4 linked regions of the Anolis sagrei genome follow. The protein of the gene in region 3 interacts with the protein of the main gene of each other region in a pairwise test. Links are inferred from orthologs where the notes say so. Each region holds a gene or a part of one and is shown on either strand. Other genes may lie near its edges.

Region 1 (8,453 bases), on a different chromosome or scaffold from region 3:
TGCAGTCCAGCACCATCTGGAGGGCTACTTGATGCCCACTCTATTTTAAGACTCATACACAACTGTTTGTATTGTAGAAGGGGAGACACTACACTTATGTAATGCAAGATTAAGCAACATGTATACAAGGATTGCATGCCACTGTCTCTAATAGCTCACCTGTCTTCTCCATTAGGAAATTTGCCCGCTCTCCACATGGGGCAAAGTACAATGATCCTAACACGAATGAGACCAGAGAGGCTAACCAGAGGGAAGAATGGTACAAAAAGAGAGGTAGCTGTTTTTCATTGAGGGAACAGCTATCAAGTTTTGCCTGTTCACTTGCTTTTTCTCATTTGTAGAATAGTGGGGATCAACATATAGCAACCCAATAAATTTAATAATATTTTATTAAAGAGCACGCAAGAGATGTTTTTACAGTCCTTTCCTCTGAAATATAGTCTATAGGACTTGGTATTTATTGGTGATCTTTAATCCAAGGATTAACCAGAGTGACACAATGGGTTAAACTCTTGTGCCAGTAGGACTGATGACCGAATCCGGCTCAGATGAACTCCCTCTGTCAGCTCCAGCTCCGGTAGGACTGAAGACCGACAGGTCGCAGGTTCGAATCCGGGGAGAGGCGGATGAGCTCCCTCTATCAGCTCCAGCTCCTCATGCGGGGACATGAGAGAAGCCTCCCACAAGGATGTAAAAAAAAAAACAAAAAAAACTTCAGGGCATCCCCTGGGCAATGTCCTTGCAGACGGCCAATTCTCTCACACCAGAAGCAACCTACAGTTTCTCAAGTCGCTCCTGACATGAAATATTAATAATAACCAGAATTGGTCCTGCTTAACTTTGAAGTCAGGATCAGTCAGGATCTAGTGGCTTTGGGGGTGTTTGGGGCTTTGCTTCCATTTTTTTTTCATAGTTGCTGATTCTGTCATTACATTCAATGAAATGTGGAAACTATGGTGGGCAAGTAACAAAGTACAAAAATCATTATCGTACAACCCTCATATCTGCAGGGGACATTCCAAGGCCCTCTAGGGACACCTGAAGCTATGGAGAATAGTTAACCTTATTGGTTTGGCTATATATGGACCAGAAGTATATCATAGGGTTTTATTTGAGATGCCCACAAACACTTCCAAGGAGGAATATTTTGTTGCATGAATAAGGGAAACTGTGGATATGAGAGCCATACTTTTTGGAATTCAGCTGTTATGTGCCTTAGCCAACAGAGTCAGTTTTGGAAGACAAAGGGAATAACAGTTCAACTATACTTATAACACTATGTAACAAAATTTGATAAAATTGTTCCTGGATTGAAAATGTTATTCCTATTTCATTGTACTTTGAAAGTAGTTGCTATACTCCAGAAACTTCATTTTGGGGGGGTGCCACAAACTATGTTGAATTGGTTGCGACTTGATGAGATATTCATTGATAAAAAGTATAGCAAAAATGTACTGCAGGATGTTCTGCAGAAAACAAAGTTTTTGCAATTTAATACACCTTTTCCATGTTTTTACGATAGAATCAATGAGGAAATGACATTTATAACCCAGGAACAAAGATCCTGTTACATAGTGTACATAATGTGTCTGTTGCTTATCTATGATCTCACTCTAACTTCATATTGGGAAGCTTGGGAAATGTGCTTTTCACCCAACATTGCTGCCGTTCATTGGTTTCTGACCTGAAGGAGAGAAGGTGATTTGCTTGTTTCTCCTTTTCAGTGCCAGCATAATCAATGTGGAACTTTCTCAGCGGCTGAGGGTACATCTATCTGCTTCTAAGTTTATTTCCAAGTGGCATTTGAGTCATTCCTTCCTTACTTCCCTCCCTCCCTTCTACCCCTCCTTCCTTCTCTTTTTCTTTCCTCCTAGGGGATGTTTAGCTGGGAGAAGAAAAGGTAGAGAGGGAACATGAGAATCATTTTTCAAGATTTCAAAGTGTGTCCCATTGAGGAGGAGGGGAAAACTGATTTTTCTGCTGCTCTAGAGACCGGGGAACAAGGGAGTAATGGTTTCAAATGGCAGGGAGTGAGATTTGACTGAAAAGATTAGGAAGAACTTCCTGAGAGTAAGAGCTGTTGGAAAGTGGCATAGCTGCCTCCGAGTGAGGTGGAATCTCCTTTTCTGGAGGCTTTTCCACAGAGGCTGTCTATTGGGAGTGCTTTGATTGTGCCTTCTTGTATGGCAGGGGGTTGGACTGGATGGATCTTGGGGTCACTTGGGTGCTAGGATTATATATCAGGAGTAGGCAATATGGGGTCTAATGGATACACTTTTTCTCCCCTGTCCACCATCTCATCTGACCAAGGCCAACCCCTTTGAGAGCCAAACGTTTCTCATCTTTCCTTCACTTTCTGCCTCCGAAAGAGAAGTGAAAGGGGAGGAAAGGGCATGGAGGGGGCTTGGGGAGAACCACCTCCCTCCTGCCTCCCCCCCACCCCACTCCGGCCCGCCTGTGGCCCCAAGTTAGAAAGTTTACCCATGCCTGGTTTAACCAGTATTGCACCACCTGACATCCGCTGGGAAGTAGCAGCCAGCAATGAAAGGACCAAGGCACTGACATCTCTGAGCCATCCTCTGTTCAAATATCAACCAGCAAGCCAACACATTAAATCAAGAAACAGCTTCCTAAGATCTACAGAGATACTGGTAGGAACCCCTCAGCAAGCAAGAGTCCAAAAGTGGCAGGTTAAATCCCACAAACCTCAATCAGTAGCTGAAAATGGATGAGAAACTCCCTCTTGGGCACACAGAAGACCCGGCGACATGGAAGGAAGGCACTGAACGGACTGTGCTCTGGCACCACAAGATGCAGAGCCAACCTTAAGAAATGGGGCCACAAAGTGGAGTCCATGACATGCGCGTGCGGCAAAAGCACAGACCACCTGCTACAATGCAGCCTAAGCCCTGCCACATGCACAATGGAGGACCTTCTCACAGTACTCGAAGTGGCCAGCTTCTGCTCAAAGGACATTTAGTAGAATGCCAAGCTTTTAACTTTGTTTGTGGGGTTTTTAATACACTATAACTGTATTCTCAATTTGTTTTTGACACGATAAATATATAAAAATAAATATAAACTATGCAAAAGTTAAAAAAACAAAAACCTCATACTGTATGGTGTGGTTGAAGAGGGGGAGACACCAACCATAGTGACAACACTGAAAAGAAGTCTTCTTTGGACACCTCTCACAAATAAGATGTTTATGGTTCCCTTCAAATTAAAGAGAGAGAGAGCGAGAGAGGGGTCTATTCCATACCAATATTCAGAAAAGTCTGCTCACCTTTCTCTGCTCTATGTATTGACCCAAGTTCAACGTGCTATGGGGTTCTTTCTCTATCTGTCTATTAGTCTTCCCCTTAAAAAAAATGCCTTGCAGTGACAGTAGAGGCGTAAGCAAACTTCGGCCCCGCGCGGCTCCCGGTTACCCTGGCAACGGGCTCCGGTTACCTCGGCAACGGGCTTGCTTCCTCCTTGCGGCCTACTAGGCCCGGCCCACTCGAGTCCACCCGGAAGCACCGAGGCGAGGGCCGAAGGGGCCGGCAGCGCCATGCAGGGTTTAAGCCAGGCCGAGGTCGGGCTGCAACAGGCCACCCGCGAGAGGCTGGAGAAGTTCACCAAGCTGAGAGGTGGGAGGGCGCGGGCGGGGGGCGAGGGAGGGCGGGGCTTGGGAGGCCTGGCCTAGAGGCCTTCCCTGCCGCCTTTATCCCAGGGCACAAGGAAGGTCCTCCTTACAGCCCTTTCGGGCGCCCACATAGAATGAGCACTAAAAGTAAATCTACACCAGGCATGGACAAGCTTGGGCCCTCCAGGTGTTTTGGACTTCAACTCCCACATTTCCTAACAGCCTCGGGACTTTAAGCTTAAGCGGCTGAGGGGGGAAAGGAAAAGTCCCGAGGCTGTTAGGAATTGTGGGAGTTGAAGTCCAAAACACCTGGAGGGCCCAAGCTTGCCCATGACTGTTCTACACACTGTAGAATTAACACATTTTGGTAGCCACCTTGGGTGCATCCTCATTGATGCATCATAACATCTCTTTTAACTGTCAAGGCTCAGTGCTATCAAATATTGGGAGTTGTAGTTTGGTGAAACACCAGCACTTTTCTAATAGAAAGGTCTAAAACCACAACTCCCATGATTCCATAGTATTGAGCCACAGCAGTTATTGTGTTGTAGGTTTTTTCGGGCTGTATGACCATGTTCTAGAGGCATTCTCTCCTGACGTTTCACCTGCATCTATGACAAGCATCCTCAAAGGTAGTGAGGTCTGTTGGAACTAGGAAAAAGGGTTTATATATCTGTGGAATGACCAGGGTGCGACAAAGGACTAGCTCCAGCAGACAAGAGTCCTTTGTCTCACCCTGGCCATTCCACAGATAAATAAACCCCTTTTCCTAGTTCCTAGTTCACTACCTCTGAGGATGCTTGCCATAGATGCAGGCGAAACATCAGGAGAGAATGCCTCTAGACCATGGCCATACAGCCCAAAAAAACCTACAACAACCCAGTGATTCCTGCCATGAAAGCCTTCGACAATACATATTATTATTGTGTTTATTTATTTATGACATTTATATGCCGCCCTTCTCACCCCAAAGGAAATTCACAGCGGCTTATTTATTATTTTTATTTATTTACAGCATTTATATGCCGCCCTTCTCACCCCGAAGGGGACTCAGAGCAGCTTACAAGATATATATACATTTTATTATTTATTATTTAAACATATATGCCACCACTCCACTGGGGCTCGGAGCAGCTTCCTGGGGCTCGGAGCGGCTACATAAAATATATTATATTATTAGCATAGTACAATTGTTGTTGTTCATTCGTTCAGTTGTTTCCGATTCTTCGTGACCTTATGGACCAGCCCACACCAGAGCTCCCTGTCGGCCGTCACCACCCCCAGCTCCTTCAAGGTCAATCCAGTCACTTCAAGGATACCATCCATCCATCTTGCCCTTGGTTGACTCATCTTCCTTTTTCCTTCCATTTTCCCCAGCACAATTGTCTTCTCTAAGCTTTCCTTTCTTCTCATGATGTGGCCAAAGTACTTCATCTTTGTCTCTACTATCCTTCCCTCCAATGAACAGTCAGGCTTTATTTCCTGAAGTATGGACTGGTTGGATCTTCTTGCTGTCCAAGGCACTCTCAGAATTTTCCTCCAACACCACAGTTCAAAAACATCTATCTTCCTTTGTCAGCCTTCCCTAAGGTCCAGCTCTCACATCCGTAGCTGACTATGGGGAATACCATTGTATAGTACAATATCAGTATTAAACATTACTATATTGTATTATACCATTATATTGTAATATTAATAGTAATATTACATGTAATATAAATATATAATTATAATATATTAGTAGTAGTAATATTATATTGCATTACATTATAATATTATTAATGTTATATGTATTTACAATATATTATATTATATTATTAACATAGCACAGGAGACAAGATGGAACTCTCTTCTGCCCCCCCCCCCCCTTAACTTTTATACCCTGCTTTTTCCCTCCACAAAGGAGAGTCAAAGCAGCTTACTTTAAAACACATTTAAATACAGAGGCTTTCATGGCCAGAATCATTGGATTGTTGTAAGTTTTCTGGGCTGTATGGCAATGTTCCAGAAGCATTCTCTCCTGACACTTCGCATGCATCTTTGGCAGGCATCCTCAAAAGGTTGTGAGGTCACAACTTCTGGGGATGCCTGCCATAGATGCAACAGGAGAGAATGCTTCTGAAACATGGCCATATAGCCTGGAAAACTCACAATAACCCAGCATTTCAATACTATTTGAAATCTACAAATATGCAAACATTTAAACAGAAAATAATATCACTGGTGTTTTTTAAAAAATATCTGTAAAACTTACTGAAAACACATTTGGAGTTAAAGAAAATCACTGTTAAAATCCATTAAACTTAACTAAAAACACATTCAAAGTTAAAAGAGGTGTCAAACTGAATTTAATTCAACTCCTTAACTGCCCCCTGGTAGCGATCTGGTGGCACAGCAGATTAAACCACTAAGCTGCTGATTGAAAGGTTAGTAGTTTGAATCCTGGGAGCAGGGTGTACTTCCACTGTTAGCCCCAGTTTCTGCCAACCTAGCAGTTCAAAAACCTGCAAATTTGAGTAGATCAATAGGTACTGCTTCAGCAGGAAGGTAACAGCGCTCCATGCAGCCATGCTGGCCACATGACCTTGGAGGTGTCTAGGTACAACGCTGGCTCTTTAGCTTAGAAATTGAGATTAGCACCATCCCCCAGAGTCGAACAATACTAGACTTAATGTTAGGGAAAACCTTTACCTTTACTTAACTGCCGAGGCTCAATGTTTTGGGATCACAAGAGCTGTAGTTTTACAAGCGCTTTCACCTTCTCTGACAGAGTGCTGGTACCTTGCCAAACTGCATATCCAAGAATTCCATCATACTGAACCATGGCAGTAAAAACAGTGTCAAACTGCATTTATCCTTAAGTGTAGACCAGGCCTGAGTAAACTTTTTCACATTGGGGCTGCATTGTGTTTTAAAATTTAACAGGATGGAAGGGAGGGAGCACACGCTGGGTGGGGTTCATGGGGGGCTGGACAGTGGCAGTTGGCCGGGGGGGGGGGGGCAAATTCATGTGTTTGAGCCTCACTCTAACTTCCACATCTCAAGGCTATGGAATCCTGGGAGTTGTAGTTTTTCAAAGTATTTAGCCTGATCTGCTAACGAGTGCCGGTGTCTGACACGTGAGTCCTCTGGGCAGTTGGGAGGGCCCTCCTCTCAGTATGAGAACGTGATGGCTCGCCTTGTCCTCATGCTAAAAGGAAGGTGTGACAAATGCAAGCTTGTTTTCTGCTTCCCTGGAGACTAGGATGTGGAACAATGGCTTAAAACTACAAGAAAGGAGTTTCCATCTGAACATGAGGAAGAACTTCCTGACTGTGAGAGCTGTTCAGCAGTGGAATTCTCTGCCCCGGAGTGTGGTGGAGGCTCCTTCTTTGGAAGCTTTTAAACAGAGGCTGGATGGCCATCTGTCAGGGGTGATTTGAATGCACTGTTCCTGCTTCTTGGCAGGGGGTTGGACTGGATGGCCCATGAGGTCTCTTCCAACTCTTTGATTCTATGATTGTATTTTATATCTGGTCCTTGCACTGTAGTTCCATTTGCTTTCTGTGTCTATGTTAATGGCTCAAAACTAAGAAAAACAAAAACTTTTTCTCCATGTGTTACTGCACTCTTGGCAATAGCTTAGATAATGAAACCCTCACAATTAGCTTCACTGAATCCATGCAGAGAAATAAGCACATTAATCCATGGATGCTGTTAGGAAACACAATACTACAATCTTGGCAAAGCTAAGCCCATCCAACTATGGCCAGTGGTTTGAATCAGACTGGGAACCTATGGAAACTGCTCTTTTTCGTAAAAAAAAAAGAAACAGTCGGATATAAGTGCACTAACTGAACTAACAATAAAGCTAAGGGAGGGATTACTAAATAGCAATAATCTGAATGCAAGTGCGGCATTTGATGGGGTGATGATTTTGACAAGTAGACCATCAAAGGAACAGAAATAGCTCCTTGCCTGGGGGAAGCAGTAATGTCTCCTAGCTGCAGTCTGAGTTTATCCTTTTTATCTTCTGGTGTATATAGTGAGAGGAAGCAGTTAACTCTCATATTGCACTCTCTCCCAGTACTGAGGGGTGGGGATTAAATAAAACACCAACAGGGAGGCAACAAATATAACTCCTTCCTTCAGGCAAGGAACCATAGCTAGTCCTTTTACTTGCCACTAGGTCAAAGAGTGAAGATAAACCAGCTCTTGAACTCACTTCAGCTTGCTTTGCCTTTTGGGATAGTCGAGAAAAAGAGTTCTATAGATTTCTACACATACAGAATATTCAATCTGGTTTATAAATTTCATTCTTTTCACTTGTATAGTTGGAAGTCCTTAGAGAGACTAGTAAATCCCCCTATCGCTCTCTTTAAGGTATCTCCTCTACATTCCAACTCTGAAGCTTTCCTGAAGGGAAATGAAGGATTTTATATAGTTCTTTAAATGGTTGCTCTTAGTCACCTGGGTGTTCTGCAGTCAGATTTAAAGCACAGAAGTTGTTATTGTCGGAGAACTATGTGGATCCCCTGTGGGTTGTTCTATTTTATTTTGTTTTGTTTTTCACATGGTTGTATTAAAATGTTAGTATTAACATAGAATGGACAACGATAGGGAAATAATATATATTTTACAGTCAGATCTCCACGCCTGGAGGTTTGATTTTGCAAATATGATAAAAAAATGTTCTCTCTGAATCTTTAAGTTCTCTAGGACTTCCGTCAGAAGTTGATCATAAGATAATGATGGAGGATTAGAATGGCCTAGAGATAACATCTCTCTAGGAAACGTTAGTTCTTCAGTTGTGATTCTTTAATCAACATCCAGACATTCCTAGAGA
Region 2 (7,683 bases), on a different chromosome or scaffold from region 3:
CCATGACTCAACATTATGGAATCCTAGGTGTTGTAGTTTGGTGAGGTACAGGAACTCTGTGGCAGAGAAGGCTAAAGGGCTCGTGAAGCTACAACTGCCATGATTCCACAGCACACAGTTTGAGGAGCATCCCTTTAGGGTGTTAGAGGAAGACTTCACCCAATCCTTGGGGTTGGAAAGGAAGTTAGAGCACTCTCCTGTTCCCCAACAAACTCTACTGAGTATGTTCTCAGTAGGGCCCTTTTCTCTCCTGGCTTGTTTCCCATTCCCACTCCCACCAGGAGCAAGAAAAATAAAATGAAGCCAGTAGCTGCTGTGTGGGAAAGAAAGGCTCAGCAGGGGGACGGGGGTGCTCTGGTTTGCTTGCTTTTCCCTCTCTGTGACGCCCACAAAGGGAACCCCAGGGAGATGAAAAGCTGAGACTTGTTTGGACCTTCCCCAAACTGTGAAAATTCTAGTTCTCCACAAACATCATATCACAGCCTCTGGAACAAGCGCCATAGGGGTCTTCCTGGCAATGGCAGTATCTCATGTTGCCCCTTTTAAGGGCCATAGGCTACAATTTTCCTGGCAACAGAAGAGCCTCAGAGAAGAGTTTCAAATACCCCCTGTTGAAAGTACTCCCGGTAATGGAGGTGCCTCTGAGGGGAGCTTCAAGTTTCCCCAAATGAAGGTCTTCCTGGCAACAGAAATGCTTCAGAGGGGAGCTTCAAATACCCCCCCCCCCCTTTGGAGGTCCTTCAGATAATAGAGGTGCCTCAGAGGACAGCTTTAGGCCTCCCCTTTGAATGTCTTCCTGGACATGGAAGTTCCTTAGAGGGGAGATTCAAGTCTCCCCTTCTGAGGTCTTCTTGGTAATGGAAGTGTTTCGGGGGGAGCCTGAAGTAGGCCCCCTTTGGAGGTCCTCCTGGTAATAAAAGTACATTAGAGTAGTTTCAAGTCTCCCTTTTTGAAAGTCTTCCTGGGGAAAAAAAAAAGGCCTTAGAGGAGAGCTTCAAGTCTCCCCTTTTGAAGGTCTTTTGAAATTTCAAATAACCCCCTTTGGAGGTCTTTCTAGTAACAGAAGTGCCTCTAAGGAGAGCTCCAAGTCTCCTCCTTTGAAGGTTTTCCTGGTCATGGAAGTGCCTCAGAGGGGTTTCAAATAGCCCCCTTTTGAAGGTCCTCCTAGTAATAGAAGTGCCTTAGAGGACAGCTTCAAATCTTCCCTTCTGAAGATCCTTCTAGTCAGGGAAGTACCTTAGAAGAGAGCTTCAAGTCTCCCCTTTTGAAAGTCTTCCTGGGAAAAATAAAAGCCTCAGAGGGGAGCTTCAAACCTCTCCTTTTCAAGGTCTTCCTAGTCATGGAAGTACCTTAGAGGGGAGTTTCACATAGCCCCCTTTGAAGATCCTCCTAGTAATATAAGTGCCTCAGAGGACAGCTTCAAGCCTCCCCTTTTGAAGATCCTCCTGGTCATGGAAATACCTTAGAGGGGAGTTTCAAATAGCTCCCTTTTGAAGGTCTTCCTGGTTATGGAAATATCTTAGAGGGGAGTTTCAAGTTTCTCCTTCTGAAGATCCTCCTGGTCATGGAAGTCATAATATTAAATAATAATAAATATTTATTTATATCCTGCTTTTCTCCTTCACGGGACCCAAAGTTGCCTCAGATGAGAGCTTCAAATCCTCCCTTTGAAAGACTTCCTGGGGAAAAGAAATGCCTCTAAGTCTCCCCTTTTGAAGGTCTTCCTGGTAATGAAAGTATGTGAGAGGCGTGTTTCGAATAACCTCCTTTTGGAAGTCCTTCTAGTTACAGATGTGCCTCTAAGGAGAGCTTCGAGTCTACCCCTTTGAAAGTCTTCCTGGATATGGAATTGTCTCAAAGGGGAGTTTCAAATAGCCCCCCTTTGGAGGTCCTTCTAATAACAGAAGTACCTCAGAGGAAAGCTTCAAGTCTCCCACTTTGAAGGTCTTCCTGGTTATGAAAGTACATGAGAGGCGGGTTTCGAATACCCCCCCCCCCCTTTGGAGGTCCTTCTAGTAACAGGTGTACCTCAGAGGAGAGCATCAAGTCTCCCTTTTTGAAGGTCTTCCTGGTTATGAAAGTACATGAGAGGCGAGTTTTGAATAACCCCCCTTTGGAAGTCCTTCTAGTTACAGATGTGCCTATAAGGAGAGCTTCAAGTCTCCCCCTTTAAAGGTTCTTCCTGGTTATGGAAGTGCTTCAGAGGGGAGTTTCAAACAGCCCCCCTTTGGAAGCCCTTCTAATGTGCCTTTAAGGAGAGCTTCAGGTCTCCCCTGGTGAAGGTCTTTCTGGTTATGAAAGTACATGAGAGGCGAGTTTCGAAGGTCTTCCTGGTTATGGAAGTGTCTCAAAGGGGAGTTTCAAAAAGCCCCCCTTTGGGGGTCCTTCTAGTGACAGAAGTACCTCAGAGGAGGGCTTCAAGTTTCCCCTGGTGAAGGTCCTCCTGGTCACGGAAGCGCCTCAGGGGGGAGTTTCAAGGCGCCCCCTCAGAGGCCGCAGCCCGCCCCTCGCCCGCCCCAGGGGGCCACTTCCGCCTCAGCCCCCCTGGGCTGTCACTTGGCGCAGGGCCCTGTCTGCCTCCCGCCAGAGCAGGCCTCGCAGCGGCCCTCCCTCCCTCCTTCACTCACCACGCATTTCTTGCCCAGGAAGCCGAAGAGGCTCTCATTCTCCTGCGGGGTGAGCAGCATGGAGCCCACGTTGGTGACCCTCCGCGGCGGCGGGGGCTGCGTGGCGTTGTTGTTGCTGCTCATGGCGGGGCCAGGCCGGAGAGGGAAGGAAGGCAGGAAGGCAGGCAGGCAGGCCCCTCAGAGGGGCATGGAGAGCAGTGGCCCAGGAAGGGAGGGAGGAAAAGGAAGAGGAAGGAGGCTCCCCTCTGCTCTCGGCCTCTCTTTCCCCCTCTCCTCCTCCCTGCCTTCCTTCCTTAAACTTCTAACTTGTCCCCGGCTCAATCCAACATGGCAGGGCGCGAGGCGCGGGCGAAACCAAGAGGCGCGGCGCGGGAGGGGAGCCGCGGAAACGGAGAAGGCGTCTTCTTCTTCCTCGCAGGGCCCCGCCGCCGCCTTGGCCTCCCCTTCCGCGCTTGCCTTTCCGGTCTCCTCCTCCTCCCTGAGAAGGAAAAGGAGAGACAGAGAGAGAGGGGGGGACGAGCAGCTGAGAGGAAAGCGCCTTCTCCTGCTCTCTCTGGCGCGGGTTGCGGCCTAGCTTTCTGAAACGCCGGCCCAGTCGGTTTCCCCCTCTTTGACGCCGCTTTAACTGCCAGGGCGCAGTGCTATGGCTCCCTGTGAGTTGTAGTTCCATGCCTCACCCAACTACGACTCCCAGGATCCTTTAGCACTCAGCCTGGCAGTTCAAGAGGTGTCAAACTGCACAGCCTCATCACACTAGAGCACTTTAAATCCAGTGTCTGCCTCCTGCAGAATTCTGGGGTTTGTAGTTTTGGTGAGGGCCAGGACCTGCCTGGCTGAGCAGTTTAAAGTCCCCTCCCTAAACTATAAGCCCCAAAATTCTGCAGCGGGCAGAAACTGGATTTAAAGTGGAACCTTGCTCAAGACCTAGAGCAGTGGTTCTCAACCTTCCTAATGCCGTGACCAATTGATACAGTCCCTCATGTTGTGGTGACGACCCAACCATAATATTGTTTTCATTGCTACTCCATAACAGTCATTTTACTACTGTTATAAATCATAATGTAAATATCTGATATGCAGGATGCATTTTCATTCACTGGACCAAACTGGGCACAAATACCCAATACACCCGAATGTGAACGCTAGTGGGTTTGGGGGAGGATTGATTTTGTAATTTGGGAGTTGTAGTTGCTGGGATTTATAGTTCACTTCTAATCAAAGAGCATTCTGAACTCCACCAGAGATGGATTTGAACCAAACTTGGCTCCCATGACCAATGGAAAACACTGGAAGGATTTGATGGGCATTTATCTTGAGTTTGGGAGTTGTAGTTCACCTATATCCAAATGGCACTGTGGACTCATGTGATGGTGGATCTGGACAAAACTTAGCACAAATACTCAATATGCCCAAATGTGAACACTGGTGGAGTCTGGGGAAAATAGATCTTGCCATTTGGGAGTTGTAGTTGCTGGGATTTATAGTTCATTACAATCAAAGAACATTCTGAACTCCACCAATGATAGAATTGGCTCAAACTTCCCACATGGAATCCCCATGACCATCAGAAAATATTGTGCTTTCTTATGGTCTTTGGCGATCCTTCTGACACCCCCTCGCAACCCCCTCAGGGGTCCCAATTCCTAGGTTGAGAAACACTGACCTAGAGCATGGATCCAATTTAAATCCAGTGTCTGTCTCCTGCAGAATTCTGGGGTTTGTAGTTTTGGTGAGGGCCAGGACTTGCCTGGCTGAGCAGTTTAAAGGCCCCTCCCTAAACTATAAGCCCCAAAATTCTGAAGGGGGCAGAAACTGGATTTAAAGTGGATCCATGCTCTAATGCAGGGTTCCTCAAACTAAGGCCCCGGGGACCAGATCCGGCCTTCCAAGGTCATTTACCCGGTCCTCACACAGGGTCAACCTAAGTCTGGATCGAGTTGAAAGCGAACAACAACAACAACAATCCTATCTCATCAGCCAAAATCAGGCCCACACTTCCCATTGAAATACTAATAGGTTTATATTTGTTAAAATTGTTCTTCATTTTAATTATTGTATTGTCTTAGGTGTTTTTTGCACCACAAATAAGATCTGTGCAGTGTGCATAGGAATTCATTCATTTTTTTAAAAAAAATTATAATCCGGCCCTTTAACAGTTTGACGGACTGTGACCTGGCCCTCTGTTTAAAAGGTTTGAGGACCCCTGCTCCAATGCAATGGTTCTCAACCTTGCTAATGCAATGACCCTTTAATACAGTTCCTCATATGATGACCCCCAACCATAACATTTTCGTTGCTACTTCATAACTGTCATTTTGCTACTATTATGAATCGTCATGTAAATATCTGATATGCAGGATGTATTTTCATACACTGGACCAAATTTGGCACAAATATCCAATACTCCCATATTTGAATACTGGTGGGGTTGGGGGGGATTGTTTTGTTATTTGGGATAATAAGTGCATCAAATAAATAAATTATTTGGGAGTTGTGGTTGCTGGGATTTATAGTTCACTTATGATCAGAAAGCACTCTGAATTCCACCAACAATGGAATCGAACCAAACTTGGAACACAGAACTCCCATAACCAACAAACACCTCCCAACAAAGGATTCCCCCAGGCTGCAATCAGGTGGCCAATTGCAACATTCACACTAGCCTCAAGCAGACAAAAGTTCTTTCTCCTACCCTGGACATTCCACAGATATATAAACCTCACTTGCCTAGTTTCCAACAGACCCCTCAACCTCTGAGGATGCTTGCCATAGATGTGGGTGAAACATCAGGAGAGAATGCTTCTGGAACATGGCCATACACCCTGGAAAACTCACAGCAACCCAATTATGATGTTTATTAATATCTCGCTTTTTCTCTCCATACGGAAACTCAAGGCCCTTCCACACAGCCATATAACCCAGAATATCAAGACAGAAAATCCCACAATATCTGCTTTGAACTGGATTATCTGAGTCCATACTGCCATATAATCCAGTTCGATGTGGATTTTATACAGCTGTGTGGAAGGTGCCTCTTTTAAAGTTTAAGCAAGGGTAAAAGGACGTCTTATAAATTTGGCTATTCCCAATCTCACAGCAAATGTAAGTGGTTGCTATGGATTGTTATTGCATAATAATAATAATAATAATAATAATGCGCAAATTAATGCAGTTGGATCTTCAGAGAGTTTGGAATTGTTTTAACAGATCTTGTTTTAATAATTGCAATATTTAATAATTGCACTGCCATATAATCAATTTCAAAGCAGATAATGTGGATTTTATATGGCAATGAGCTCCATTCAGTTCTAGCAATTTCAGGGTGGTGGCATCCTTGATTAAATCAGGCCATATGGAGCCAGTGTGATTTAGGATTGATCTACACTGCCATATAATCCAGATTATCAAAACAGATAATCCAGATTATTTGATTTGAACTGAATTACAGGAGTCTACACTGATATATAATCCAGTTCTTAGTTCCCCGTGAAGTGAGAAGGACGGGATATCAATGAAGTAAATAAATAAATAAATTCAAAGCAGATAATCTGGATTTTTAAGGCAGCGTAGAAGGGGCCTCAGTGGTTTTTGCACTGGACTATGACTCAAGATCAGGGTTAAGCTTTCCGCTCAGCCAGGAAACCAACTTAATATCCTTGGGCCAGTCACACACTCTCAGTCTCAGAATACCCTGTGATAGTGTCAGAGTCACAATGAGTCAGAAATGATTAGAAGGCACACAGGAACAACAACCATCTACAATATGATCTTTGAGGAAGCAACTTTAAGGTGCACAACAACCACCATCTCTAAGGTTGTCTTTCTCTTTCCTTATTGCCTTCCACTTTCCTTAAGTTAATCATTTTTTTTCCAACGACTCCTTTTTCACACAAAGTCCAAGATACAATTGCTGTAGTTTAATAATTTGAGATTTCAGGCTTGAATTGCTCATGTTTGTTATTGACTTTTATGGTGGTCCAAGGTATCAGAATCATAGTCATGTGGAATACACACCAATATCAGCACCTATAAACTGAACCACAAAATACTCAGATCCTTGTAGCATAAAAAGGAAGATCCCAAGTACAGGGCTACGAATATAACTGTTAAAATGCTATCAACTAATCAAGGTTTTTAAAAAAACTAATTCATTAAAATTTTGAATCCAGAAGCATTTTGTGATACAAAAACATGCAAGGCACTTCTGTCAGGTCCCTATGATTCTTGGAAGCAAGCCACAAACAGTAAATTAAATTAAGAAACAAGTTTTCTGATATTATTGCTGTGGGGCAACAGATATAGAGAGATACAAATGGGTTAATGACACTCTTTTCAGGGAAAACTGGATCCCATAGAGAATTGAAGTAGAATTGAGTTTATTTGTTTATTTATTTATTTCCGGTATTTCTGCCCTGTCTCTTTTCTACCCCCAAAGGGGGACTCAGGACAGCTTACACTGGCAGCGATTCGATGCCGTTACATATAAACAATTAAATACAATAACCATTACATACAAAAAAAAAATTAAGCCATTAAAATACATAAAATACATAAACCATTAATTAAAACAGGACATAAAACTGGGTTGTTGTAGGTTTTCCGGGCTATATGGCCATGTTCTAGAGGCATTTTCTCCTGACGTTTCGCCTGCATCTATGGCAAGCATCCTCAGAGCATCCTCACTACCTCTGAGGATGCTTGCCATAGATGCAGGCGAAACGTCAGGAGAAAATGCCTCTAAAACATGGCCATATAGCCCGGAAAACCTACAACAACCCAGTGATTCCAGCCATGAAAGCCTTCGACAGGACATAAAACATTAATTAAACAATAAAACCGTATCTTCATAGATATCGTCTTGCCAATCCATTTCCAACCAAAGTGCTGATTTATGTCTGCTGTCTGAAAACCTGGTCCCAGAACCACGATTTCAATTTCTTCCTGAAAGCCAGGAGGGATGGGGTCGATCGTATCTCATTTGGAAGTGCATTCCACAGGTGGGGGGCCATGGCCGAGGAGGCCCTGTCTCTCGTCCCCACCAGCCGTGTTTGCAATG
Region 3 (7,362 bases):
TCTTTTGCATATAGACAATCATATGCTGATGCAACTTATCACTGTGAAAATAAAAAAGCACAAGATCTCAGCATGCTATTGCCAAGAGCAATACCCATCAGGACTGACTTAGATACAAACTTATTTTGCTCTTTAGATCCCCAAAGAGCATGGTAATGGCTTCCACAGGAATGAAAGTAAACAGACATGTATATATCTAAAGGTTATGAAGGGGATATACTCTTCAGTGCTGCAGTATTTATTCACATTAGCCCTTCCACGATCCAGGAAAACAATCAGCATCCACTCATGTGAGTATATATATGTGTATGTTTGCCTATGTATGTAGATGCTGTAATCCGCTCAAAGTTCCCTAGGGGAGAAGGGTGGAATATAAATAAAGTGTATTATTTTTTTTTATTATTATTTCCCCAAAATCACTGCTTTAAAAAAAAATCCCTCTCCGTGATGGACACAGGCACAGTGGAAAGAAGAGAAACAGATCTACTTTGGTAATGTTCATTTCATGAAATGGTTCAGGGGCCCAATTACATATCTTTCAAAGTCAAGTCTGTGGTATTCCTTTCTCCTCACTTCAACTTCTAGCAAAGGTCCAGAACCCATATTGAAAAGGAATAATGATATGAAGTACTAAACAAGTCCAAAAAAGGGTTCTAAACAAAGGAAGCCTCAACTCTCCCCAGAAGACAACAAAGACTGTCATACTTTGGCCGTATCATGAGAAAACATGATTCAATAGAAAAGAAAAACAATGCTTAGTAAGGTAGAAGGCACTAGTAAAAGAGGATGACCTTATTTCAGAAAGATGGACTCAACCAGGAAGTGCCAGTTCTGAACCTGCAAAACCTGAGCAGGGCTATTGATATTGGAGGTATCTCACTCATGGGTTGCCTTAATTCAAAGTGAACTTGATGGCAGCTAAAAACAAAAAAAAAATATCATAAGAGGAAGGTGAGTCCAGGAAGCCTGATGTGCAGCAAGGGATGTGTCTGATGTCACTATTCTTGTGTTTAAATGGTAGAGAAAGCAGCCCACATGATACTAAAATGATGCCACCATTCTCCTGGAAACTGGGATTTGAACATGCAGCAATGTACATCATTAGAGAGAGAGGAAACTGCCAGCACTGAAAATCCCTGCCTCCCTCAGTATCTTAGAAGGTTCCACAACCCTCAATCACCCTGTATCAGAAAGAAAAGATTTCAGGTGTGGATGCAGTGGGCAGGTACATCATACAGGTGGGCTGGTCAAGAAGTCCCGATTGGCTGCACCTTCCTGCAGAGCACACCTGGGCTCACCTCTGCATCAAATTGGAAATGGTTCGAGGTGAGAAACTAACAAAGAACACAGATTTCAGGGAAGTAAGGAGATCCAGGGGGATACTCTGGACACAAAGTTAACACATGGAAGAGAAGAGTGGTTAATGTTTTCTGCCCCCTAAAATTTCTAACTTAAGTCACAATAATTCTCATTCACCCAGAGAAAGAGATCAGATCTGATTATAAAAACAGGAGGTGCTTTTCTGCCCAAGATAATAGCAACACGCATCATTTACAGAGCGCTTTAGAACAACCACCAGGAAAGATAGGTCAGGGATGGTATTTCACAGATGTAAGAAAACAACAAGGGAGGAGCATGGCCCTCTTTAGACACGGATCCTGCTGAGATGCCTCCCTTCCCCACCCTGATACAATCCAGCAGCTGTCTGGCCAAGGGGGAAAAAAATAAAAACATGTAATAACCCAGGATCATGTGCCAGTGCTGCTCCATCTTTCCTCCAAACCCCAAAGGGGGGCAAGGTTGGATGGGGTGGGTGGGCACAGCCTTCCAGTCCTCCCTCCGGATGGCTCCCACTCACGCCCCCAAAACCCTCCTCCTTGCCACTTCCCCCACCAAAAAAACCCCTCCCTCCACAATGGAGCCCAGAAATACGGACTTCAGTCCCCTTCCCTGTACACACAAACAGGAAATCTCCACAGCTGAAGGGGCCCTGGGGGGAAAGACCAAAGCCTTTGGCCCCTTCCTGCTTTCTTCCCCGAGGGGACCAAACCCCTTGGCCACCCACTTCGGTTGGGGAAATTTCCAGGATTAGGGGAAGAGACCAGGATCCCTTTGGAACAGTTCTCTCCCTTTTATCATTTCTGTAAAGAAAAAAAGCAGCAGCAACAACAACAAACCCCTTCCTTCCCTCCTCTTTTTCCTTCCCTTTCCTTCCTTCCATCCTTTCCCTTCATCCATTCTTCCACTCCTTCCTTCCTTCCCTTCATTTCCCTCTTCAGCCTTCCTTCTTTCCTTCATTTCCCTTCTTTACTTTCCCTTCCCCCTTCCTTTCCTTCCCTCCTCTCCTTCCCTTCCTTCTCTTCCTTTCCCTCCCAACTCCTTTCTTGGGAGGAAAGAGGCAGCCAGCCCTCTGAAACAATAGTTTCCCTCTCACGCTCCAGAAATGGAAGGGAAAAAGGGGGGTTAAAATGGAGTGGGGAGAGAATCGGTAAAGAAAACGTGGGGGTGATCTATAACAAAAGGGGGGGATCTCCTGATTTAGGTTTTTCGAGAAAGGGGGGGGGCGGGTTGTTCCTCCCTGGGAAAAGAAGCCAAAGCTTGGAGTGTTGGGAGAGGGAAGGGCGGCTCTTTCCTGCCTGCCTGCCTGCCTGGCTCTTCCACCCGGGCGCGCTGGCTAGGCCAGGCCCGGGACGAGAGGGCGCCTTCCTTTCTTTCTTCTTTCCCTCCTGCCTGCGTGCCTTGCTTCCCCCTCGGCAACTCCACAAGTTGGCGGCCCCCTTCCTCTCCCCTTGGCGTTTCTTTCCTACCTGGGACGCGGGCTGTCCTCTCTGTGGGCTCCCTAGGAAGAAGGAGGAGGAGAATGGCAGGAGGGGGGGCCGAGGGAGGAGAGGAGGCTGCCCTCCCTCGCTGGCTCTTTTGTCTCCGCGGCGTCGGCGGAGGGAGAGAGAGGGAGAGAGAGGGGGGTCTCCTCCTCCGCCTCCCTTCGCTTCTCCTTCCTCCTCCTCTCCGTCGCTCGGCGCGCCTAAGGCCCAACGGCAGCTCCCTCCGCCTCAGCCCCGCGGCAACGGCTCCGGCCCCTCCCCTTCCACCCAGGCGGCAGTCAGGGCCCTCCTTCCTTCCTTCCCTCCCTCCCTTCCTGCCGCTCGGGGAAGGCGGCGACGGGAGGCCCAGGATCGCCAGCCTCCTCCTCCTCCTCCTCGGCTTCCCTCAGAAAGTGGGAGGGAAAGGCGGGGCCCAGCCCTCTCCTCCTCCTCCTCCTCCCCAATGGAGGAAGGGACAGGGCCGGCCTTCACTTGGGGCACGCCTACACTCCCTCCCTCCTTAGTGTGACGAGGAGGTTCCCGGCCTGAGGTGGCACCAGCCCCCGGCCCGCTTTGGTGGCCTGACGTGGGACATCTCGAGTAGGCGCCCCTCTTCTCTCCAAGTTTCAGACTATTCCATCTGAACATGAGGAAGAACTTCCTGAGAGCCGTTCAGCAGTGGAACTCTCTGCCCCGGAGGGAGTGTGGTGGAGGCTCCTTCTATGGAAGCTTTTAAGCAGAGACTGGGTGGCCCTCTGCCAGGGGTGCTTTGAATGCAATATTCCTGCTTCTTGGCAGAATGGGGTTGGACTGGGTGGCCCATGAGGTCTCTTCCAACTCTAGGATTCTATGATTCTAGGAAGGCAGCAACTCTTTTTCGACTAGTGTTGTCGAAGGCTTTCATGGTTCAAAATCACTGTAAGTTTTCCGGGCTGTGTGGCCACATTCCAGAAGCATTCTCTCCTGACGTTTCGCCCACATCTATGGCAAGCATCCTCAGAGGTTGTGAGGCCTTTTCCCGGCTGTTTTTGTGCGCTCAAAGAACGCTTCTTTTCAGGCTTCGGACAGGGAACGCTCGCGAGGCTTAGGCCGCATCGGCAACATAGAAGGAATGCAGCTTAACGTGGACTCAGTGCCAAGAGAGATCTAGTTTTACGGGGCGCCCCTCCTCTTCGGTAAAGAGCGCGTAGGACTACAGCTGCCAGGATCCCACAGCTTTGAGGCATTGGGCTTCTAAGGGGTTCCAACCCGCAATAGTTCTACAGTGTAGATGCAACTTTTTAAAGATCACTGTTTTTTGGGTATTGCCAGGTGAATCTCCTCCTTGGCAGGGCGAAAGGGCTTCGCGGGGGGCTTCACCTCGGATGCCCGGTCCAGGCTAGGGTGGAGTGGCCCTCCTTTGTTTCTCCCTCCCCCCCTCCCCTCCCCCCGGCTAAAAATAGAACCCGTCTCCCGTTCCCAGAAGGGCCACCCGAGAGGAAAGGGAACTTTCAGGAACGCGTCAGGGGCTCCGAGGAAGCCGATTGGGTGGCCGCCGTGACGTCCCAGGTGGAAGTACCGCCTTCCCGAAGCCGCCCATCAGGGAGGAAGAAAAGCCCGAACAGGAGGATGCGTCTCTCCTGTGCCCAAGAGTGGATGCTGCCTTCTGGCACCACTCTAAATGCCATGGCTCAACGCTGTGGAGTGCTGGGAGTTATAGTTGTACAGGTCTTAAGCCCTCTCTGACAAAGAGTGCTGGTTCCTCACCAAACTACAACTCCTAGGATTGCATAGCATTCAGCCATGGTCATGAAAGTGGTGCCAAAATGTGGTTTGTTTGTTTACTCTATTAGTATACCACCTTTCTCACCCCTGGGGGAACTCAAAGCGGTTTACAACATACTAATGGCAAATATTCAATGCCATTTCCCCCAGCTGCAGTTTCAGTAATGTATCTTATAAAAACCTTTGCTTCTTTTTGTATCGTGATAGTTTTGTTTTGTTTTGAATACTTTTTTTCAGAATAAAATAAATTAAGGTTTTATTATTGTAAATACGCAAACAGATAAATAACACACCTGCTCTTCAGCTTAGAAATGGAGAAAAGCACCACCCCCCAGAGTCAGATTTGACTAGACTTAATGTCAAGGGGAAACCTTTACTTTACCTTAACAGTGTGTAACAGTACAAGTTGTATCTAGAAGTTTTTTGGTTTTGGAATATCTGTCCCTGTAAAGGATGTTCAACTTGTATTTGGGTGGTTTGGTTCAATTTTTTTACCTATTAGGTTTTCACTTCTATTTATTTAATAAAGAATTGAAAGTGTACATATCAATAAACTAATATTAATGCAATTATAGACACTAGTAATGAACAATATTGTAAAAGAAATGTGGAACAGAAATACGGAACAGCAATATTGTGAAAGAAATATGGAATATGCAGTCCTGTCCTCCCTAACACGTTGGAGCACTGAAAAAAAAATACTCTAGTGTTTTGTTTTGTTTTGTTTTTGACACTACAGAAGGCTATAGTATCAGGCACAAAATTGCATCGCTGAATACTCTGCTAGACTTTCTCCTCTTGTTTCCAGTTGTCAGTTCCTTCACTTCATGCAACTGATAGAGTAGATAAAAATCTATGAAATCTTACACTACCAACTTCTTTCTTTCAGTGAATCTCAAAGGTGCTACAAGATCCATTTGCCCTGTAATTGTGCCACAAAGTTGGTCCTAGTCAAAAATCTGGACTAAATATTCTGAAAAATAAAAGACATTTGGGATATTATTCATAAAACATCAAGAGTAAAATTTGCTCCCAAACTAGAGTTTATATATGAACTTGATAAACGTATTTCAATTAGCGTAAAATTAACCAGAATATATATTTTGATTAAACAAATCAGGGATGAGTTAGGGTTCCACAGAATGTAGTTGTCTTCAACAGGGTTCCATGACTGAAAAGGTATGGGGATTGCTGGGAACCATCCACACTGCAGAATTATAACAGATTGATGCTAGTTTAACTGTCATGAATCCATCTTGTAAACTCTGGGATTTGTAGTTTGTTGTGGCATCAGAGCTTTCAATCAGAGGTAAATATCACACAAAACTACGCATCCCAAAATGACATAGCATGGCAGTTCAAGTTGTCACACGGCTATAATTCTGCAGTGTAAACACAGCCATGGCCATGTTAGTCTGGACTAATATTTCCCCAATTTAGGTCCTCCATCTTTTTTTGGACTTCACCTCCCTAAAGCCCCAGCCAGCTTGGCCAAAAGTCAGGAATTCTGGAAGCAAAGGTCTAAAGATAATGGAGGACTAAGTCTGGGAAGCGCTCATCTGGATGATCCCTGGTTAAGCATTGGGGGCCAATTCATCATTGGATTTTGGAGCATTTTGTATTTCTGGATAAAGAATGCTTGGCCTGTATTATGTGAGCAAGGATTTACAAGGAGCACATTTGCATGCATTGAGCACTACAGCCAGGAACTATTTTTTTCCTATTGTGATGTGCAATGGCTGGTGGAAGGATCCTGCCCATTCCGATAAGTAAGGCTGTCTCACTGGTTCCATACTGGTTTTTCTCACTCCCTTCATTACCAGAGCTTTGGGCAGGATGAGAGAGAGAGAGATTGAGGGAACAGGTAGATGGAGGAACATTAAATACATAACCAAAAAAATAGAAGAGAAGAACAATTGGGAAATCTGGGGAAGCTAAGGTAAACCATAGCTCAAATTTTCAAAGCTAACCAAGGAACTTGTGAAGCTGACCTGAATCTCCTTTGGCCACCTTCAGCATTCTTCATGCCTTTGAAGATCTGCGCAGTGAGTTATTTTGACACAAGGCACAGCCATGGCTATTTGGGTCCATTGAGATAGAAGGGGTGTCCAGTTCTCCCTTTGCTTTGTTATGTCCTTTCTTTTAAAATATTTATTATTTTAACAACAGATTTAAGCTGAAATCAAAAGTTGTTGTTAGAAAATTTTATTTGATGGTGCCAAGATTCATGGGGACCCCAGAGATTAGCATGCAGCCACCTCCGCTATAAATTTTTATTGTTATTTTGCATGACATCCATCAGTATTTCTAAAAAGCAAATGAGAAAGAAAATAAGCAAAACCACATCAAAAGAAAGAAACAAAAAAACGTTCTCAGCTTTGAATTATGTCCTGAATTATGTCCTGTTTGAATTTAAAATCTTCTCTGCAGTTAACATGCTGGTTCGGTTAGAATAGGAAGCGCTGCCTTAATTTTAAAGAAATAAGAGATGCTCTTGTTGTTTTTGTGAATCGTTCTAGGGGCTTTGGTTGAAGTAGGGGAACCTTTCTCGTTATTTCAGATGTCTTCCTTCTAACTTGTTGATGTCTCATTTGTCTGGATTTTTGCTGGTTTTCCTTTGGGGGAACTGGGAGGGCTGGGGAAGCATTGGTATTTTGGGATTGATTTTCCCAGATCTGTAAAGGAATCCAAGAAAGTTGCCATTGCAATGGACAAAGATACAGGTGGGTCACCTTTTTACTCTTTCCCTACAAAGCGAAAATGTTATTGTGGAGGATTTCCTTTTTTATGTTTTAAA
Region 4 (7,549 bases), on a different chromosome or scaffold from region 3:
GTATTATACCAGAGAAACAGGAAAACCATCAGGCAGCTCTCAAGTCTTTTTTCCAGTGAACAGGAAAAGGGATCCGAGTCTGAGAACATTGTGTATATGTAATATCAGCCTCCCTACATTCCATTGGGAGGGGAAAATAGAAGGGGAGGAAGAGCTCACTTTCTGACAAATTCAAAGGGGCTCTCAGTTTGAGGATGGGTTTCCTCTGGGCCTTCAGCAACAATCCAGATTGACATGTCAAGAACCACAAAAAAATATCCACCTAGTAAAAGGTTCTAGTTTAGAACCACATGTCAGATGAAGCTCTTATTCCCTTCTCACACTATTCATGTTATCTCCCCAAATACAGTTCTTTCTTGCTCACCTGTGTGATGGAGCAGACATTGGCTTCCACTTGCCGGATTTCAGCCGCCTGCAAGTCCAGCATTTTGAGGATGTCGCTGGCCAGGTTGCTGATTTGGTAGGCCACGCTGGCTAATGATTGAGTGGCAAAACCCATCGTTTCCTCAAGGGCTTTCCGTTTGTCTTGTGCCTAAATTATTTCAGAGGAAGAGGGAAAGGAAGAGGAAGAAGAAAAAGGGAAACTTAGAGAGATACTAAGGGCCCTTCCAGACAGGCCCTATATCCCAGGATCTGATCCCAGGTTTTCTGTTTATCCCAGATTACCTGGCAGTGCGGACTCTTATAATCCAGTTTAAAGCATAAAACCTGGGATCACATCCTGGGATATAGGGCCTATCTGGAAGGGCCCTGAAATGTCTGGTAGTGGCTTCTCAGATGTGACTTTTGCTATAGGAACAGAACTTTAAGTATGGTTTTGTCTGTGTGGAGCCTCCAGTGATGCAGTGGGTTAAACCACTGAGCTGCTGAACTTGCTGACCAAAAGGTCAGTGGTTTGAATCTGGGGTGAGCTCCTGTTGTTAGCCCCAGCTTCTGCCAACCTAGCAGTTCGAAAACATGCAAATGTGAGTAGATCAATAGGTACTGCTTCTGCAGGAAGATAACAGCGCTCCATGCAGTCATGCTAGCCACATGACCTTGGAGGCATCTACGGACAACACCAGCTCTTCGGCTTAGAAATGGAAATGAGCACCTCCCCCCAGAGTCGGACACAACTAGACTTTATGTCAGAGGAAACCTTTGCTTTTACCTACCTTTGCCCGTGTGATGCTACAAACCTGGGGAAGTTTATAGGTTATCCCCAAAACACTGGGATTTACTTTTTGTTGAAATCTTCACAAAACCCAATGAAAATTAAAATGAAAGTTGCCTATAATTTGCTTATCTCTAGAAAGTATCCTCCAATGACCTTCCAAGAAACTGAAACTTACTCCTTAGTCTAAAACAACGTTCCCTACTCTTGTACTGTATTAGGCGGAACTGAGCAACTGCATAGATGGCATGGAATAATTTACACCCTTCATAGAGACTTCCCAATGGGTCATTGAAGTGCATTGAAATGAGGTCATGGCATATCTGGCAATCATTTTTCATCTGCATCTTGATACAAAATATTATTTTGTTTCAAAAACATTGCATAAAATAGTTTATTTAAAACTGATAAAATAAAGGGCTCACAAGTTGCTAGATAGTTTTAGACCAAAAACGGGCAACAGCGGCTGCATTGTCTGTAGCTTTAAACAATTCTTCCTCATTGCATGAGGCAGGGCATTGTGGACAAGCATACAGATGCTGAGTTGTTTGTTCTGCTCCACAGTCACACAAGGGGGAGGATTCTTTTAGGTAGTGCCATTTTGCCAAGTTGTCTTTCGATCTGCCAACTCCGCTTCGGAGTCTGTTCAGGGACTTCCAAATTGCCCATTCTTGGGGAAGACCCTTGTGGGGGGCCATCCAGTTAGTACTACCAGTTTTTGCTACCTACAGGGATATTCTTGCTGTTGCTTTTGATCCAAAGATGGCATGGGAGTGGGGAAATCAAATTGCTGAATAACAACTTTTTTTTTTGCCTGTTGGGGACATTTAGAGTTTGAAAAAAAATCAATCCAAAATCACCCCAAAGTTTCAGCTGGAGCACAGATTCGGGGTTTTTAGGACATGTAAAGAGGCTTTGGTACTGTAAAACTGATCCCCCTCCCATCCCTTGGTTAGATGATTTTCTGGCTTTCCAGGCAGGAGTGTTGGTTGGCTAGAATCTCTGCATAAATGAAATATTCATCCCTCCGCTTCCTACATCATCCCAGAGGTTGCTAGTCCCTAGCTCCTGCAGCAGCCAGCTTCCTATATAAATAAAAGGTGTTTCAACAGCTTTGGAGATAATTCCTGTGCCATCCATCCCATTCACATCAGGAGCTGGCAATACCCTCAGCAACCTAGGAAACTATCTTTCCACACTTCTGTTCAAGCATGACTTAGAGTGCTGCTTTTTATAGCTAACTCTAGGGTAAGGATGGGCAAACTTCAGTTTGCGAGGTATTTTGGACTTCAACTCCCACAATTCCTAACAGTAGGTTGTTAGGAATTGTGGGAAGTAAAGTCCAAAATACCTGGAGGGCCAAAGTTTGCCCATGCCTTCCCTAGACATTCTTCTGTCTGAGGCAATGGACAAAGTGAAGATGATACCATCTCCCTATTCTACATACAGAAGGTAATTGAAGGCAAACTCTTCCTTCAGTAACAACAAGGGGATAACACTTTCTACCACAACTGGGAGCAACAGGCTAGTTTATGACACTCCAAATTACTTCTTGACTACAAACCCTGGAATCTCAATTTTTCTGGAAATTCTAGGAATTACAGTCCAAAAGGTAACTCAAGTCTCCAATAGCTGTAAAATAGTGCAGTCCTCCATCAAAAGGGATAAATCAGACTAAGAAGGGATTATGGGCAGCAGCTCCAAGACCTGCCACCTGAACTAGTTGTTTCTACCCAATGGTAGAGCCAGCCCCACTTCTATGGCAAGTGCCATCTCAGAATCCTACCCAGCTGTGACTCACCTGCCCATAGTTGCTCTCACAGTAATCAGCCACTTTGAGCAGGTTGCTGTAGTTTTCCTTCAGGACCCCCCTTGCACAAGGGATGGATGCCTGTATCAGCTGCTGCAATTCGGAGGACATGCTGTCATCAGTCTGGTCTCCACACTTCCTCCTGACAGCGTGCGGTGTGGCAACTTCACCCAAGATCCGATCTCAGTTTCACACAACTCATGGTGACACTGTCTGGCTGGGACCTCTTTTATACTTGAGTCGACGCCTCCTGTGGCAGAGCCCATCCCACCCCTCGGTCTTCTTGCTGACACCCTGAGATTTATTGCTGTCCTCCAAGTACACATGGAAACTGTGTGGACATCCTCTTTCATTCCTGGAGTGACAAGTACCTCCACGCTTAGCATACAAGATAAGAAAACTTTCTTCGGCTTGAGTGAGCAACAATAAATGACGAGAAATAACTGAGGAAATGTTGAGGGAGATGGTGCAGGGAGGGGAGAGGGACTGTCAAGAGAGGAAACTATTATTTATAGAACTTTGTTTGCTTAACTGATTGCAGCAATGCTGACTTTTATTGCTAAGTGAGCCAGGTGAACATGTGTAACTTAACTCAGGCCCCTTCTTCATAGCAATGTAACATCCAGATTATCTGCTTTGAACTGGATTATATAGCAGTGTAGACTAAGGGCTCTTCCATACAGCCATATAACCCAGATATCAAGGCAGATAATCCACAATATCTGCTTTGAACTGGGTTATCTGAGTCCCCACTTCCATTACTTACTTACTTACATACTTACTTACTTACTTACTTACGCAATCCCACCTTGCCCGAGTAGGATAGTCTTCCAGGATCAGTATTCTGGTGGGTCCGTAGGTGACTGTGGAGTCCTATTTTTGATCTGCATCTTCTCCTACAGTGAGGGCATTGGTTTCCAGGTGAAAAGCGGTCTCGGTCAGGGGTGGCTTGACGCGCCTTCCTCTTAGCACGTTTTTCTCTTTCACCCTCCATTCGTGCCTCTTCAAATTCTGCAGCACTGCTGGTCACAGCTGACCTCCAGCTGGAGCGCTCAAGGGCCAGGGCTTCCCAGTTCTCAGTGTCTATGGTTTTTAAGGTTAGCTTTGAGCCCATCTTTAAATCACTTTTCCTGTCCGCCAACATTCCGTTTTCCCCACTGCCATATAACCCAGTCCAAAGAAGATAACGTGGATTTTTGTATAGCTGTGTGGAAGGGGCCAAAGATAATCCAGTTTAAATCAGATAATGTGTATTTTCTCCTTTGATAACCTGAATTATCTGGCAGTGTAGAAGGGTCCTCAGCGTTTGGGACAGCATATTTTAGTTTATAGTTCATAGCATCCTTGCTTGGGGATTCTGGGAATTTATCTTTCCTTTGATACTAGTTCAGAGCACACATTGCTAGTCAACATAGAAAACCAAGGATGAGCTCAATACTACTACATTGTATCTGATCCATCAAACCATTATGCCCAAGCTGCCCAACCCATGGACCCATATGTCTCCTGTCCCATTAGGAGAGAAAAAAACAAAAGAACCTTGAAGCTACTCAGGGAAAGTAAGAGACGAACAACGCAAATTGTAGTTTCTGTCTCTGTTTTGTGCCACTATCTAAGTCTGCTTCCATCTTCCTTGGCACATACAGAGAAAGCAGAAGTCAGGCCAGCTATACTTCTATCTTGAAGCACCAACTCAATTTTGCACTGACCTTTACATTTAGCCCTTTCCAAGGTATTGGTTGGAAGAATCCCTATCATTAGTTCCAGGCAGAAATTCAGCCCTACCAAGGTTCCTCACTTCTGCACCAACAGTGGTTCCCATGATATTGGAATTATGAAACTACTACAGGTTTTTAGTTTCCTTAAAATTTAAGGGAACTGACCAAGGGCCTAAACCCTGAAAATTAAGGAAACTGACCTGGGGACTAAAACTCAGGTCTTGCCAATTACTTCCTCTGAAATATTGCTACAGTTCCTGGTATTAATTGGCAGCCTCCCATCCATTTTTGCTAAAACCTGTTTAGTTTCCAAGTTCAGAGAGAATTTGGTGCCTTTATTTAACCCTCTTTTGAGGAAGGTAAATGCAAAATCACCCGAACCAACCAAGCAATGTTGAATTAATTTCCTCATGTTCTGTAAAATCCATATAATTGAAGTAGCAATAGTTGTCAGCATAACCCAGAAGTTGGCAAAACCAGCTCTCCTGCCCAGGATCTAACAAAGTTTCTAAACTAAGGCCCTTGTGAAATAAATTACTTTATGATGCACATATTTGACAGTGCATTTCCTATTTGCCATTAAAATAATAATAATAATAATAATAATAATAATAAACAATGCAAAGACTCTGGCACAAGCCAGTCAAGGTGGTCCCAGTGGTGATCGGCACACCGGGTGCAGTGCCTAAAGACCTTGGCCTGCTCTTAAACACAATCGGCACTGACAAAATTACCACCTGCCAGCTACAGAAGTCCACCTTACTGGGATCTGCACGCATCATTCACCAATACATCACACAGTCCTAGACACTTGGGAAGTGTCCGATGTGTGATCCAATACAACAGCCAGCAGAGTGTCTGCTGTGGACTCATCTTGTTGTGTTTCAAATAATAATAATAATAATAATAATAATAATAATAATAATAATTGCACCCTGCCACCATCTCCCCAAAGGAACCCGGGACGGCTCACAGAAGCACTCCAAGTGCCACATGCAGACAACCATACATAAGTACAGGGCCGTAGCCAGAAAAAAATTTCGGGGAGGGTTGACAATTTCGGGGGGGGGGGGTTTGAAAATTTCGGGGGGGGGGGGGGAATTTCGGGGAGGGTTGAAAATTTGGGGGGGGGGTTGAAACCTGCCTCCTAGCTCACGCTAAAGCAAAGCGCACAGCAGGGGGCAGAGCAACCTTCAATAGCCTGCAGCTCCACCCCTGTCAACCACCTCCACCAAGTCTGGCCTCCTTAATGAGAGCATTCAACACACACACACACCACTTGGTTGCTTCACTACATCGCTATTGCTGCAAGTAATGACAGTGTGAATAAATTGTCAATATTTGCTTGAGATAGTGCTTACAGCTCTGGAGGGACTCTTAATTTTTTGCATCTCATAGACTTAGCATGGGGATTTGGTTAACCAGTTAAAATTCATGAGTAAACCAGTTTTTTTAAAAAAATCTGAAACATTTCGGGGGGGGGTTTGAACCCCTAAAACCACCCCCTCACTACAGGCCTGCATAAGTATAAACACAATGACATAAATATAATCAACAATGCATAAGAAGAATGCCTGTCAAGGATTTCTTTGAATTACAGCTGAGGCGCTAAAGCTGTTAATTTGCTGAAAAGGCAGAGACAGCTTCCAAAGGTACAAGATGATAAAAAGAGCCAATGGGAGCACAGCACATACTTCTGCAGTCCAATATCCTTGTGACCCATTAGATGCCCATGGGGTGGCCACAGGTTGTTCACAAGCACTGATATTAGGAACCGAGTGTGCATGGGGAATGCACACTGCCCTCTTAACATCCATCCAGTTCTGCTCATGTTAAGCCACTAAGTACCTTTAGGAGACTAATTCCTACTGAAAGACTACACAGAAATGCAACTTGAATTTAACCTTGATGTACCTGATCATAACTTTTTGTAAATATATCCAGAAAGGAAGGTGTGGGTTGGGGGAAGGATCAAGGTTAATGTTCACATGAGTCATTCCCTTGTCCTTCAAATATAGAACCTTACCCCTGGGCCTAGTTGCATAGAGATTGTTATTGTTGTGTGCCTTCAAATCATTTTTGAATTATGGTGACCCTAAAGCAAACCTATCAAGAAAGTAAACCTCACAACCTCTGAGGATGCTTGCCACAGATGCAGGCGAAATGTCAGGAGAGAATGCTTCTAGAACATAGCCATATAGCCCGAAAAACCTACAACAACCCAGTGATTCCAGCCATGAAAACCTTTGACAATACAGTTTTGGAGGACTAAGAGAGTGTGACTCACCCAAGATCATCCACTGGGACCCCTTCCACACAGCTGAATAAAATCCCACATTATCTGCTTTGAAGTGGGATATATGTCAGTATAGACTCAGATAACCCAGTTCAAAGCCGATATTGTGGGATTTTCTGCCTTGATATTCTGGAATATAGGACTGTGTGGAAGGGCCCTGGTTTCCAGAGTCAGAGGGCCCTTCCACACAGCCATATAACCCAGAATATCAAGGCAGGAAACCCCACAATATCGGCTTTGAACTGGGTAATCTGAGTCCAAACTTGGATAATGTGGGATTTCTTGTGTTGATATTCTGGTACATAGGGCTGTGTGGAAGGGCTCCCAGTTCAAAGCAGAAAATGTGGAATTTTATCCCCCTGTGTAGAAAGGGTCAGAGCCCAAAGTTGAAGACACTACACCAAGTATCCTCAAACTATGGTCCTCCAGTTGTTTAGACCTCCAACTCTCAAACATCATGACAATTGAACCAGCTGGCTAAAGCTTCTGGAAGTTGGCCCAAACAGCTGGAGAGCCACAGTTTGAAGATGCCTGCACTACACCATGTAGAGCAAGCATCTTCAAACTGTGAC

What was found.
Region 1: the proteins of NCK2 (region 3) and LRRIQ3 interact in binary tests that used the Homo sapiens proteins (3 or more experiments, as listed by UniProt). The two-hybrid records come from large-scale screens. The link is inferred for Anolis sagrei from reciprocal best matches to the Homo sapiens genes NCK2 and LRRIQ3.
Region 2: the proteins of NCK2 (region 3) and WASL interact in binary tests that used the Homo sapiens proteins (3 or more experiments, as listed by UniProt). The two-hybrid records come from large-scale screens. The link is inferred for Anolis sagrei from reciprocal best matches to the Homo sapiens genes NCK2 and WASL.
Region 4: the proteins of NCK2 (region 3) and ABI3 interact in binary tests that used the Homo sapiens proteins (3 or more experiments, as listed by UniProt). The two-hybrid records come from large-scale screens. The link is inferred for Anolis sagrei from reciprocal best matches to the Homo sapiens genes NCK2 and ABI3.

The regions. Positions count from the first base shown.
Region 1 is NC_090024.1:161,747,662-161,756,114, reverse strand, and holds the start of LRRIQ3 (leucine-rich repeat and IQ domain-containing protein 3), read right to left. Parts: upstream 3,451-8,453; 5' UTR 3,287-3,450; intron 1-3,286. Other genes in the region: FPGT (fucose-1-phosphate guanylyltransferase), read left to right, coding at 3,554-3,632.
Region 2 is NC_090025.1:127,455,682-127,463,364, reverse strand, and holds the start of WASL (actin nucleation-promoting factor WASL), read right to left. Parts: upstream 3,397-7,683; 5' UTR 2,751-3,396; coding exon 2,628-2,750; intron 1-2,627. UniProt on the Homo sapiens protein: Regulates actin polymerization by stimulating the actin-nucleating activity of the Arp2/3 complex. Involved in various processes, such as mitosis and cytokinesis, via its role in the regulation of actin polymerization.
Region 3 is NC_090023.1:106,056,754-106,064,115, reverse strand, and holds the start of NCK2 (cytoplasmic protein NCK2), read right to left. Parts: upstream 3,216-7,362; 5' UTR 2,808-3,215; intron 1-2,807. UniProt on the Homo sapiens protein: Adapter protein which associates with tyrosine-phosphorylated growth factor receptors or their cellular substrates. Maintains low levels of EIF2S1 phosphorylation by promoting its dephosphorylation by PP1.
Region 4 is NC_090026.1:32,484,083-32,491,631, forward strand, and holds the start of ABI3 (ABI gene family member 3), read right to left. Parts: upstream 3,386-7,549; 5' UTR 3,075-3,385; coding exon 2,955-3,074; intron 533-2,954; coding exon 365-532; intron 1-364. UniProt on the Homo sapiens protein: May inhibit tumor metastasis. In vitro, reduces cell motility.